2 linked regions of the Drosophila melanogaster genome follow. The protein of the gene in region 1 interacts with the protein of each later gene in a pairwise test. Each region holds a gene or a part of one and is shown on either strand. Other genes may lie near its edges.

Region 1 (7,439 bases):
TGATCGTGCCCATCGATGATCCAGCTGATCCTTGAAGGCTTAATCTTAGTCCTCGCTGGCTTTTCAGTGGCATGTACCGCAACCGTTGTGGCCTCTGCAGTTGTCACCTGAATCAGGTCGGCCGGTGAAAAAGTACCCTTCTGTTCATGGGACTCCATGCTGCTTGATTCCAATTTCGGCTGCTGCTCCCGCATAATGGCCTTCATCTTCTCCATTTTCTCGGTCACCTCCTTTGCCATTTTGTACATGCGCAGAAAGGCGGACATGCAATCCTGCGGAGTATGCTTTTTGCAACGCACAAACTCATGCTCCAACTGGCTTAGGGCTTCTCTTGCCCTTTTACTTCGCAGCTTGGTGTACAGGTGCTGCATATTGGCCTCCATCCGGACGGGATCCAACAGATCCAACCCATGCAAATCACGCCGCATGCGGTGTTTCTTGTTCAACCGGAACTTAACCAGCATTTGCCGCATATGCTTCCTTCTCCTGTTTTTGCTATCCTCCATATCCTTGTTCATATCCTCGTCGAGCAATTTGAAGTGCAAAGTTTGAGGACTCACAATCAGGGCAGACTGATCCTCCTCAAAGGGCTGGTTGAAAAGCACCTGGTGCCTGGCATTCAGCGCTGCAATCTGCTGCACTTGATCTTTAAGTAATTTATTAGTTATTATTACTCTTATTATAACTCGTTAACGAACTTACCAATTTTCTCCACCACTAGCCCGTGGTAAACCAGAGAAAATAGCAACACGATGATGACCAGAATCGAGATGGCCACGATCCGTTTGCCGAATCCAATGCTCCACCAACGTCGCGGATGCCGAAGCAGCCTGGTGGCCTCCATCTCTAAAGAATTCCGTTTAAGAAGATTAGTGTAACGAAATTTCTTAACCAAGTTCAATTATGGATTTTTTGTAAGCCAATCGCTTAAGTATTAAACTGTTTACATACTTGTATGTTTATTGTCTTGTTCGCAGTTTTTATAAAAACTCAGTCTACATACTTTTATTTTCAACATACATAATTAAACACTTTTTATTATTTATTGTGGTCAGCACTTTCTGGCCTGTTCAGCACTTTTGCAATAATTTTTATAATAATGCTGATCCAAGTTCAAAATAAAATGGAACTTTCGACCATTTTATGGAATTCACTTTCTGGCTTAAAATGTTCACAGACGTGGGTGAAAATATTAATTGTTTTTGGCCTATTTTTTTTTTTGCCAACGAGTACGGAAGTTATTTTCAAGATTTCAAAGTAACACATACCATCCATGTTGTAATTCATTATTCATAAATTGATTTATCTTCTGGATTTTTCACTTAAGCTCTGGACATTTTTAACACATAAGCTTTTACGCCACAAAATCGCTGATTATTTCTTTCAATTATATGTTAAGCACTTTGTTAAATTGGCCGGGAAACAAGGAGCCTCAGGTTACAGCGATTCACTCAAACAAAAATCCACAAAAAGCAATCGCAAAGCAATTTGATATGCACGATAATCCAGAACGGTAATAATCACTACGATGACGACTTCCGCGCGATCCGGCCGGTAAAGAGCAACTGAATCCGACGGTGGTGAATGCGCCGCTTATAAGGGCTTCCGGAAAGTGGATCAGCGGGCAAACGACCCACATCCAGCGGCCACTGCTGCACTTTTCTGCTACGTTTCGAAGTTTATGGTTTTTTGGTTAATGAAAAGCGGCCCGGCAACTGCGGAGGTCAGCTGAAATGGCCGACGAAAAGTGCAAGTTGAAGGGGATTTTGGAATGGCAGAGCAACGAACCAGCCGCCCACCACCTATGAAACCAGAACTGTAAGCTAAGCAGGCCCAGCATTAATTCTCAACCCTGTGTCAGAAGTTTCCAAATCAGTTCTTTCCCTTTTTTTTTTTACAAATTTCGTAAAGCGCATAAAAATAAAAACATTTTTCCACACATCAAAGCTTTGACCACGAACACTATTTACCGAAAAATATAAATAAAAAACAAAAAGAAACGGTAGTAAAACAGAAAACACATGCATTCTACTTAGAAAATCAAATAAAATTGTTTATCAAAATTTTACCATCAGACAGAATGTAAGTAGCAGCAGCGCATGAAACGTGCAGGAATCGAGTGTCTTAGCCAGTTTTCCCATGAACCCACAGAACTTCATTAACAAAAATTGATGCGCAAGCAAAGAAAGTATATGCCCTCAAGATCCAGCCAGTCATTAGTCATTGGAGGAACCAGAAAACAAACACAAACACAAGGACCTTCCCACGGCATGCGCATAGAGTTCCTTAACATATTAACCTTTATCTCGAGATAACAAACATGATGTGGACCAGAACGACAATCGCACTGCGCAGAATTGCCAGGTCGCAAAGGTAAGTAACAAATAAACTCATTTCATTCAAAAAGGTATTAGTTACTCATACTCATACACCACCTTGAACGACTAATTATTGTGTAGGTGATATGTAGGTAAATGATGGTGATGAAAGATTAATAACAATAGTGGCCAGTTAACAATCAATAAACTGTGCATGAAAATAGCTTATGTTCTTTACACTTTCAACTTTTATTAAAGATAAATTCAGTTTTCGATCTATATCAAGCCAATTAAGGATTCAAATGGTCAAGAATATTTATGATGATTAAGAAATATGAGAATTTACTGAACAAGTGAAAATGGCACATTATTCTTAGCACAAAAATTATAATAGTTCGTTATATCTTCGATAATATGCACATATCGATGTGAAAAAATTAATGTATGTTATTCTTGTTTGTGTCATCTTAGTCTTCTACTCTAGATGATTCAAATGATAATACCTATTTCAGTATATTGAGATTAAACTTGGCGTCATCGCTGAGATCTTAGATCTTGTCCGCTCCTGGCGGTATTTTGATCAAGGACTGAGCTTCGTACAGCTCCTCCAGCAACTTACGGAATAGCTCGGGGCTGATGTTGTTGCCCACGCGCATCAGCACGAACCAGTCGCCAAAACTGCAATTGCGCAATGCCACCTGCAAGTGCTTCTTGGGCATGAAACGTGCCCTGGCACGAAGCAACTGAAGACGCATTCCGGGATACAAAACGGTGGCCAGGCGGTACAGAAACTTGAGGGAAATGAGCATAGCCACTAGTATAAACCATATCCACAGGAAGGCGAAGATTTTCTCGTTCAGTATATTCAGGGGCAGCAGGCAAAGGTAGTCGTATATGTTGGAAGAACCGCTGGGGCCGCCCTTGTACATCTCGCACTTGGCACACTTGGGGAAGACTGCCATGGTTATAATGTTCCACTGGTTATAGTCGCCATTGTAAAGGGACAGCAAGGCATTACGGTAGCGGCCCCAAAAACCTCCGAAAAATACGTCCAACAGAAGGAAGTTTAGAATCTGCGGGGTTGCAAATAATTACAATTTTTAGTAATATCGTAGATTATTGAATTACTAGTTTTGGTCACTCACACTGATGCTCAAATTGAGTATTTCGCAGAAGACGTAGCTAACGAAGTAGCGGAAGTGGGTCTCTTTGTAATCGCTGGAGAAGTAGTTGACTAGTACGCGCAAATGGGTCCTGCTCTTGTCCTTGCAAACGGCCATCTTGTGGAAATCATCGCACAAATGCTTCAGCCGACCGCCCTCCCAAATCTTCCAGAGAAATGCTGGCATATAAAACACAAACGACTCGAGCAGCAATACCAGCACGACCCACTGATAGTAGGTTATGTAGTTACGATTTTCCGGGGGCACTACCTTACTAACCGCATCTGAAATGAAGAATCCGTGCTGAACATGGGAATCTTTGAAGCATTTCCAAACTCACCTGGTCGGCACTGTGCAGCTCCATTCCTTAGGGGCGTCACAGTCACATTGTCGCTCACATAGGCCCCGTAGATCCAACAAAAGGCGTGCACGTAGTCCATATCCTTGTCCCCAAAACACTGGATGGGATCGCCGAAATATTGTTTCGAGGAAAGCAAAAATGTGCAGGCCAAAAGCAGGGCCACTGTGACTTTGGAGTGCAGCGTGAAAATAGCATCGTAGATGTGCACCGACTTGAACTGCAGATACTTGGAGAGCGGTTTAACAGCTGCGTACATGATGGCGTATTTATTTTATTTAATTTCGGGCGTAAAACAAAAATTTTGGGGCGGTTGTAAAGTTTGACGATTTAACTTGTACCAAAAGCACGCGGCATCATAACGGTTGATGTATACTATGGTTGTCTCTTTCTTACTCACGCCTGGGAACCTTACGTACAAACCGCAATTTCCAGCAGCCAGCTTTTGGCAGGCACTGATTTCGGCTGGAAAGAAGTCAGATTTGACGAGAAAATAGCGGGACTGCCAGCTCTGTTGGGGCTAAAAACTGTTTTTACCATCTGGTAACACTAGCACGTTGCACATGTTAAATCTTCGTGTTGACAAATTGAAATCTACTGAAAATCGAGTTAATTTAATAAAAGTTGCGTATTTTCGCCTGCAGCTTGAACGGTAAGCGCTCCAGGATGAAGGAACATATGTCCACCAAGCAGCACGAGCGCAACGAGAAGAAGAAAAAGAAGCTGGCGGCCCTGGCGAACCTGATGGAGCTCAACGATCGCGATCGATTGCACGAGGCAGAGTTGGCCAAAAAACGCGATGCAGAGGTCGAAGTGGAGGAGAAGTCAACAGCGAAGGCGGAGGACGGGGACGACGGTTTCATCGTGGTGGGCAGCAAACGCAAGCCGCGAAACCGTCGTCAAAACAACGAGCTGGAGGCGGATTCACAGACTGCCCCAGGAACATCAGATCCTGAAGAGCCGGTGAACAAGAAAATCCGCAATTACGATGCTGGTGGAGATAGCCTGCCGCTGGAGATTGGCTCGCTATCCGAGGATCAGTACAATCAGTTGTCGGCAGAGTTGAGGCGTCGCAAACGGGAGCTGGAGAACGTACCGGCCTTGCGACTGCGTGAGATGGGTCAGCGCGCCTCCCTGGAGACTCCGCAAGATGCTCGTACGCCCATCTTTCTAACCGACATCCAGAACCTGTTGATGTGCGCTCTCATTGGCCAGAAGAGCCCCTGCCGTCCGGATCGCTGGTGCAGCGTGGAGAAGTGGCTCAGTCTGTCGCACAGTGTGGTGGTCATTCTGGAGGGACTATCTCTCTACCACTATCTGTCTAACGAGACCCAGTTTGAGGCCACCAACAGGATATTCAGCACGAAGCTGGAGATGATACTTCCACCGCAGGAGGAGGGCCAGAAGATTATCGACGAGATAGCCAAGGTAGGGCTTCGTTGAAACTGTCTGTTTGCCTAATAATATATCCCTTGCTCTTGCAGATTCCTCTCACCAATGCGCAGGCACGCAGACTGATAGACGAGCACGGCTCCCTGGAGTCGGCTGTGGAGCTGAACAAAGATCCAACTTTGTTTGTAAAGACAATCTTTCCAATCGAAAGCTCTAAATCTGAGTCGGATGACATGCATGAGGATGACAAGTTCCCACGCACTAAGCTCCTGCTGTCAGCGCTGCAAATGGTCGACGAGGGCTATCCTATTCCATTGCAGGGCGAGCTACACACTCGTTTCCAAAACTTTAAGTTTACCAAGGATCTGTATGCACCGGTAACCAATCGCAGTCCTATGTTCGGCGTTGATTGTGAAATGTGTCACACGGAGGCGGGTTGTAACGAGCTAACCCGAATCTCTATTGTCAACGAAAATTACGAGACCGTTTATGAAACGCTAGTGTTGCCAAATAACCGGATCACCGACTATCTAACCCAATATTCGGGCATAACCGCAGAAATTATGGAGCAAGTGACCAAGAGGCTGGATGTTGTGCAAAAGGAAGTGTCCGAACTGCTGCCTCCAGATGCCATTCTGGTGGGGCAATCTCTAAATTCTGACTTGAACGCCATGAAAATGATGCACCCGTATGTAATTGACACCAGCGTGTGCTTTAACACATCTGGGGTGCGACGACGCAAGACCAAGCTGAAGGATCTGGCCAAAACCTTTTTACAGGAAATTATCCAGGAGAACATCGATGGTCACGATTCCATTGAGGATTCGCGAGCCACGCTGAAGCTCGTCAAGAAGAAGCTGGCAAACAGCATCGAGTTCGGAGACCAGATCCTCACGCAGCACAAGCAATTACAGGAGTTGGCGAACGCATCCAGCGGTGATACCATATCCAACAATCTGTTTGCACATGTGGCAAAGCGGGATAAGCGCACGGCCATTGTCACGGTCGGCGAGCTGCAGCCCCGTCTAAAGGAAGTGATCGAAAAGGCGGGAGAGGCAGCGCCCAAGGATCAAAGTACGTCGGTGCATGTCCACGAGGTATCTACGGCCAAGGAAGCCATTCGGAAGGTCAATGAAGTTGCACTGGAAAATGCCCTGACAATTGCCAACCTCCGCGTGCCAGAGCAGGACTTTATATTGGACAGTGCACAGCGGAGTGTTGCCAAACTGGACAAGACCATTGATCGCCTGTGGAAGTCAGTTGCGCACAACGGACTCTTCCTCGTCATCATGGGCGGATCCACAGAGTGCTCGAAGGGTGTAGCCAAAATAGCCATCAAGCGACTAAACGGATCGAATCAGACTATGGAAAGTTAGGGAGCTTTTAAGAACCTTACTTATGCTAACCGCCTCCATGGATACCCGCTCCCACTAAGGTCCTGAGTGTTGAAATCCAGCAGATAAATCAAATTTACCGTATCACACTGAAGACATGACCAACAGTTGCATTACCATACACCTGGGAAATGTCCTGCATGCATGAGTGCATCGATGAAAAATTGTAAAATTAAAAACAAATTCGATCAATAACGAATAATAAAATGTACATTTAATTTTTTTCACAAAATTCCATTGGCTTCTGCATAGTTGTATTAAATTAAATGAGCGGTAAAAATTATTATGGATTATTGTATAAAGAAAAAACTATACAAAAAACTAATTATTATTGATTCCATTTTAAAATTTTCTGAAAGGGTCAACATAATACATGGTTTATTGAACCGTAAAAACTGTTCGTGTCCGCAGGCAATTAGAAATAATTCCAGTATCCGTCCGATACATTTTCCGGATGGAGCATTCCAAACTGGCTGCTTGAATTTGACCCAGTTTCGTCTGGTTTGCATTGCCCGATATATGTGGCTGGTGGTGCTCGCTGGCCAGGCGGCTGTGTTGATAAGAGCCACAAATTTCCTACCTCCCTCAATGTGGTGCTCCGTTGTCTAGGGCCCGGCCCGAAAGCCCGAACTGGGCCTCCTCCCTAGAAGCGCCCACGCACTCTCGCTCTCCCTGGCTTTTTCATTTCCCTCTCTGTCGCTTTGGAAAGGGAAAGTCCCCGCAGCGGAGTATCTGTGTCTTATCACACGCTCGAAAATGTTGCGTCTTTTTTGGCTGAGTACTCATACGACCTGTAGGTCGTGCTCAAAGTTTC
Region 2 (4,891 bases), on another chromosome or scaffold:
ACATCATCCCCATCTTGCTGCGGCTCGCCGTAAAACGTTGGGAACGGTGGGGCTTCCTTATTCTTTCGCGTTGGCAAGATGGTATCGTATATGTAGACCAGACCGCCGGTGGGGCCGGCCACCGAGCTCCCTTGCACCCACATAACATTATATTTGGTGTTAATGCGCCACACGCGCAGACCCTTGATGATGCGCCACCGGTTTCCCATGTGTCCCGGCATCTTTGTGCCTGGCCAGACGCGACCCTTCTCGCCACCACCGCCAATGTTGCCGGCACGTCGATGAGTTTTCGTCACACCGTGCGATGCTGGCATGCCCTTAAATCCGTGTCGCTTGACAACACCTTGGAAGCCATGGTCAACTCTGCAAAATATAAGTAGAGTACGTATAACCAGCGCTTAGACGTATGTACTTACGTTTTGCCGCGAACATCGACGAAGTCACCAACGCGAAAGTGGTTGACATTTAGTGGAGTGCCTGGCGCCAGTTGGGCTTCTGGAGAGACGATGAATCGGGCCAGGTTCTTCTTGGGGAGCACACCCGAGTTGCGGAATATGCCCGCGTACTCTTTGGTCAACAGAGCTGGGTTCGTGGTCTCGGAGCCAACGAGAATGCAGCCGCGCTTGTGCAGGTTGGCTACCGTGGGAACTTGGGCAGGTAAATACTCTTCCGGGGGAATGTATTTAATGACATGATTGTCGACGATTTGCAGCAGCGTGGTGCGAATCCGCTCGCCATTCTTTAGCCACAGCGGGTACTGGCCAATTTTGCGCGCTATAACGCCGCATCTTCGCAAATTCGGAGTCCACACAGCCTCATTGGCGGTTGGGCCCGCGGTCTTGACCAAACTATCCTTAATAACTGCCGGAACGCCAAAGTTATTGGTGCCCACTTCGTTGACGAACTGCTTGTTCTCCGCCGTCATCAAATCGTTGTATTTCTGTTGCAATAAAACGCAAATGAGTAGTTTGTTTATAGATAAAAAGATATATGTCACATACTGTAATTTCCTTGCGCAGAAACCATTGGGGATTCCGCAGTCGAGGTCTGCTCAAATGGCCCTTATCGCGCACCTGCGTAACCAAAACACTGCTATTTCCACTGAGCCTGAATGGAGAAACCAGAATTTACTAAATGGCCACTATAGCAACGATAAGTGTACCCACCGGAGACCCAGTAATTGATTAATAACGCTCCGCATCATACTTATATAATATAATTTAACAAAGCATAAAAGCGAGCCGGTGCAGAATAACCAAAAGAGCTGTCAAAACATCGGCCACAGTATCGATATCAGCGATATTTGGGGCACGGCTGCTTGACCATCGATTATTTCTGGTCAATTTCGATTCCACATGCTCTTATAATTGGAGTAGTGGAAACATGATGTGATTATTATCGCAACTATGTAAATCAGAAATTGTAGTTTTTAATAAATTTGTAACATTTGTAATACATTTTGGTAATGAATTCACCCCTCTCTATGTAACGACGCGCAATGTTGTTCATTGACAAAATAGATGATTCACAATTCGTGCTAAGCTATGCATGCTGCAAACTTTAGACGCTTAATAAACATTTGATATCTATCAAAGAAGTTTTAGCGCTTTCATTTTGTTTCCCAATCATTTCTGTCAATTAAAGTTAGAGAATGGGAGAGAGTAATGCGTTGAAATGCGAACAAGTAAGTAACAGGTGGTTGTTGGAACGCATGAGAAGTAGATGGCACGGCAAAAGCTTATGGACACTCCTGCAAATGTTAGTGTCGCGGTGGAGACAGGGTATTTGATGCGCTTAACAGCACAGTTAATATACTTAACAGCACGTTCAGATAACTTGTGTATTTTTATCAGACCTACATTAATTTTTTTTTCTAATCGGAGATTTAACAGTCAAAGTAATATATATATATTGTGGTGCATTTAGAATACAATGAAACGAAATATGCAATTGATGCTGAATAATATCGCGTAATTGATGCGAAACGCGCGACACGACACGGCCAATTTGCGTTCTTCGATCAGAGCAACATTAGATATTGGGAAATTACTCATACACTAATGTTTACTCTGTGAGTAATTTTAACACGGGCACAAATGTGTGTGCGGTTGCGGTACGCGAAAAACTACCGACGGTTGCCTTTCGTAACTAAGAGCATTTATTTTTGTATAAGTGAATTCCAATGGGCTAAAGTCATATGAAAAGCGTCTAAACATGAGCCCCTCGACGATTCGTTTATAAGGATTTGATTTATTTATTTATTTGTGATTCCATTGCATTGCGTATGTATGTGTGCTGGTGTGTATCTACGTATATGTATGCTGATATATATATATTATTTAGTTTTTTAAACAACTACATGCATGCGAAATAAACAAAGGATTTGGTGCTGCAGTTGAATTTCATCCCAGGGGTATGTCCGATATCGAAATTATGGTGTTAGTGGCCTCGCAACCTGTTTTAAGATCGAATGTTTACATATGTACATCGAAATTTAACAAGTTTATGCAAAAAAAAAGAGGAAACGATAAAAACTCTCGCCCACCCCTCCCTTCAACACATTCTTATGCACATAGTGTTGTAAAGTGCGCATATGAGTTATTTATCAGTAAGCGAACATAAACTAAAGTTATTTTTAAATAACAAATGTACACAACATACAAATACAGGCGGTGCACATCTGTATGTATGCAAGTATGCAAGTATGCCTGTACATACCTAGCTTCATGCAACAATTTTAAGCGGGCTTAACTGTAAAAAAAAACCGATAAGATAATTTAAAACGGAATGTTTAACTGTTTTTTAAGCCCCAAAAATCCACCATAAGTTCGTATTCAACAGGTATTAAGGTATATCTAGCGAAAATACATAGCAACAGCTGTGTTTTTACTCGTTGCGCATTCCATCAGTGGAAACTCGCCAACAAAATTTCCCATGATCTTGAATTGCACTATCTGAACTCGGCTTTAAATAAATACATATATATTGCATTATTTCAATGCCTAACATTTTCATATATATAACTATCTCTTAGGCTTATAAAGTTATCAAGGATTTTTAAAGTTGTTGTAGTCAAAGAAAGTGAAAACAGGTGATTAACTGGTTATCAGTAATCAATGGTCCTATGAGCCGGATAAAAGTACTTTGCGAATTTGAATGGAAAGACTATTATTGCGTAAAGGGGATATGTTTTGTGAATTGTTTTAGTTAGGGTGTATATACATTTATCTGCGTCATTGTTTCCTTGATAACTTGGGCCTGGAATCCACTAAAATTTGTTTAAAATATATATTGATTAGGCGATTATTTCTGAGAATTCTCCGTGCCTGCGCCTATCTATCTTAAGATCTGATAAGAAAAACATATACAACAATGACAATGTAGTAAACAGGCGTCTGTAAGCAACTTTATGATTTAAATACACCCATAAATAAATGGCATTCAAAGTGTATTTTCCAAGTGGCTGACTTTCGCAATTTTTATTGAACATGATTTTCAATTGCAAAGTCGGTTTTGCATTTATGTAATGGCGACGACTTATCAGCCTGTGGCTGGTTTCACTGTAATAGGAAAGTGTTCGCAAGTGTATTTAAACTTGTTTTTGGTAAACGCTTGTACATATGTATATGTTTGCAAAAGATAAGAAATTTACTAGAGTGTGGGTCTTGCTCGGTACACAGACGATAAGAAATTAACAATAGTCCGTTCTTGATGAAAGTTAGTCGTTGACTGCCCACTTTTTATCGTGGCACTGTGTTTCAATTTATCTTTTTATATAATCTCATCAGTTTGCTTTTCGGATCTGCTCTTATTTTCGGAATTTCACAGTTTAAAGTTTATCGAATGTGGGGAACCGACCTTAAATCAAAATCACAATTGCCAGAGCTCTGCGCGATCAAAACGAATAAATATAATACATAATGGACTTCACTTGCTAATTATTGGTCAATTTAGGCTATAAATTCATATTCCGGTGATTGCGATGTACTCAAAATATCGTTTTTAAACCACACAAAGCAATGGGTTCTCTAAAAGAGAGAATGCAAGTTCTTTAATACAGAGTTGATAAGAATCGAGTGAATCATGTTTCTTCATGCTAGAACAAAATATTTTCTCAAAGTAACTTAGCGTATTCTTGGCCGCTCAGCCGCAATGCAAGTTTTGCGCAATTAACTCTACTTGTTGTTTAAAAAGATATCTTATATCAGTTGTCTTTGCAGGAAGGATTACCAATATGCATAATCCACCAACTGATAAACAGTATTTGCATTGAATAGTAAATATATAAAAGGAGCGCAATTCCAGCTGTAAATGTTGCAAACACCGCAGTTTTCTCGAAACTCAACCGACAAATCTACACAATATATCACAATATATCAGTCACTGCGAATGCACTTAGCTCTGTGGAAAGCAACATCGAAAGAACCTAAATAAAACTGAAACTTAAACTGAAAATCACAGCAAATATTCAAATTCAATATTATTAAAAGCAAACGCAAACATCATGGGCGGCGGCAAAAATGTACGCCGCGGCTTGGAGCCTCTGGAGTTCGAAGAATGCATCGTCGACAGTCCGGACTTTCGCGAAAATTTAAATCGACATGAAAAGGAACTGGACCACACTAGTCATCAAATAAAACGAATTATCAAAGAGGTCAAAGATCTTATGAGTGCGGCAAAGAGTAAGTAGTACAATCCATTTACCGGAGGGCGTAAAACGTGTGTCTGTTTATTAAAGTATACAAAAAATGATTTATAAATAATGCCTATTCACATATGCTTCCACATATCTTCTTGTCCTTCTGATTCCCGATCCCTGGTATGCTTGAAACACGTATTGAATTCGGGTCCAATCGACAGGCGTTTTAGGTACTCTTGATATTCGTTTAGC

What was found.
Region 2: the proteins of Rexo5 (region 1) and Graf interact in a two-hybrid assay, tested with the Drosophila melanogaster proteins (one large-scale study listed by BioGRID).

The regions. Positions count from the first base shown.
Region 1 is NT_037436.4:6,601,812-6,609,250, forward strand, and holds Rexo5 (RNA exonuclease 5), read left to right. Parts: upstream 1-1,872; 5' UTR 1,873-2,082; intron 2,083-2,151; 5' UTR 2,152-2,373; intron 2,374-2,554; exon of another isoform or gene 2,555-2,866; coding exon of another isoform or gene 2,867-3,391; intron 3,392-3,463; coding exon of another isoform or gene 3,464-3,765; intron 3,766-3,821; coding exon of another isoform or gene 3,822-4,098; exon of another isoform or gene 4,099-4,221; intron 4,222-4,367; exon of another isoform or gene 4,368-4,483; 5' UTR 4,484-4,505; coding exon 4,506-5,267; intron 5,268-5,323; coding exon 5,324-6,607; 3' UTR 6,608-6,928; downstream 6,929-7,439. Other genes in the region: ndl (nudel), read right to left, coding at 1-646, 703-846, 1,269-1,287; zpg (zero population growth), read right to left, coding at 2,867-3,391, 3,464-3,765, 3,822-4,098.
Region 2 is NC_004354.4:15,757,647-15,762,537, reverse strand, and holds the start of Graf (GTPase regulator associated with FAK), read left to right. Parts: upstream 1-1,888; 5' UTR 1,889-2,298; intron 2,299-2,343; exon of another isoform or gene 2,344-2,413; intron 2,414-4,220; 5' UTR 4,221-4,504; coding exon 4,505-4,682; intron 4,683-4,770; coding exon of another isoform or gene 4,771-4,891. Other genes in the region: mRpL3 (mitochondrial ribosomal protein L3), read right to left, coding at 1-363, 417-940, 1,002-1,107, 1,167-1,204; CG8260 (uncharacterized protein), read right to left, coding at 4,771-4,891. UniProt on the Drosophila melanogaster protein: GTPase-activating protein for Rho family proteins. Essential component of the CLIC (clathrin-independent carrier)/GEEC (GPI-anchored protein-enriched early endocytic compartment) endocytic pathway.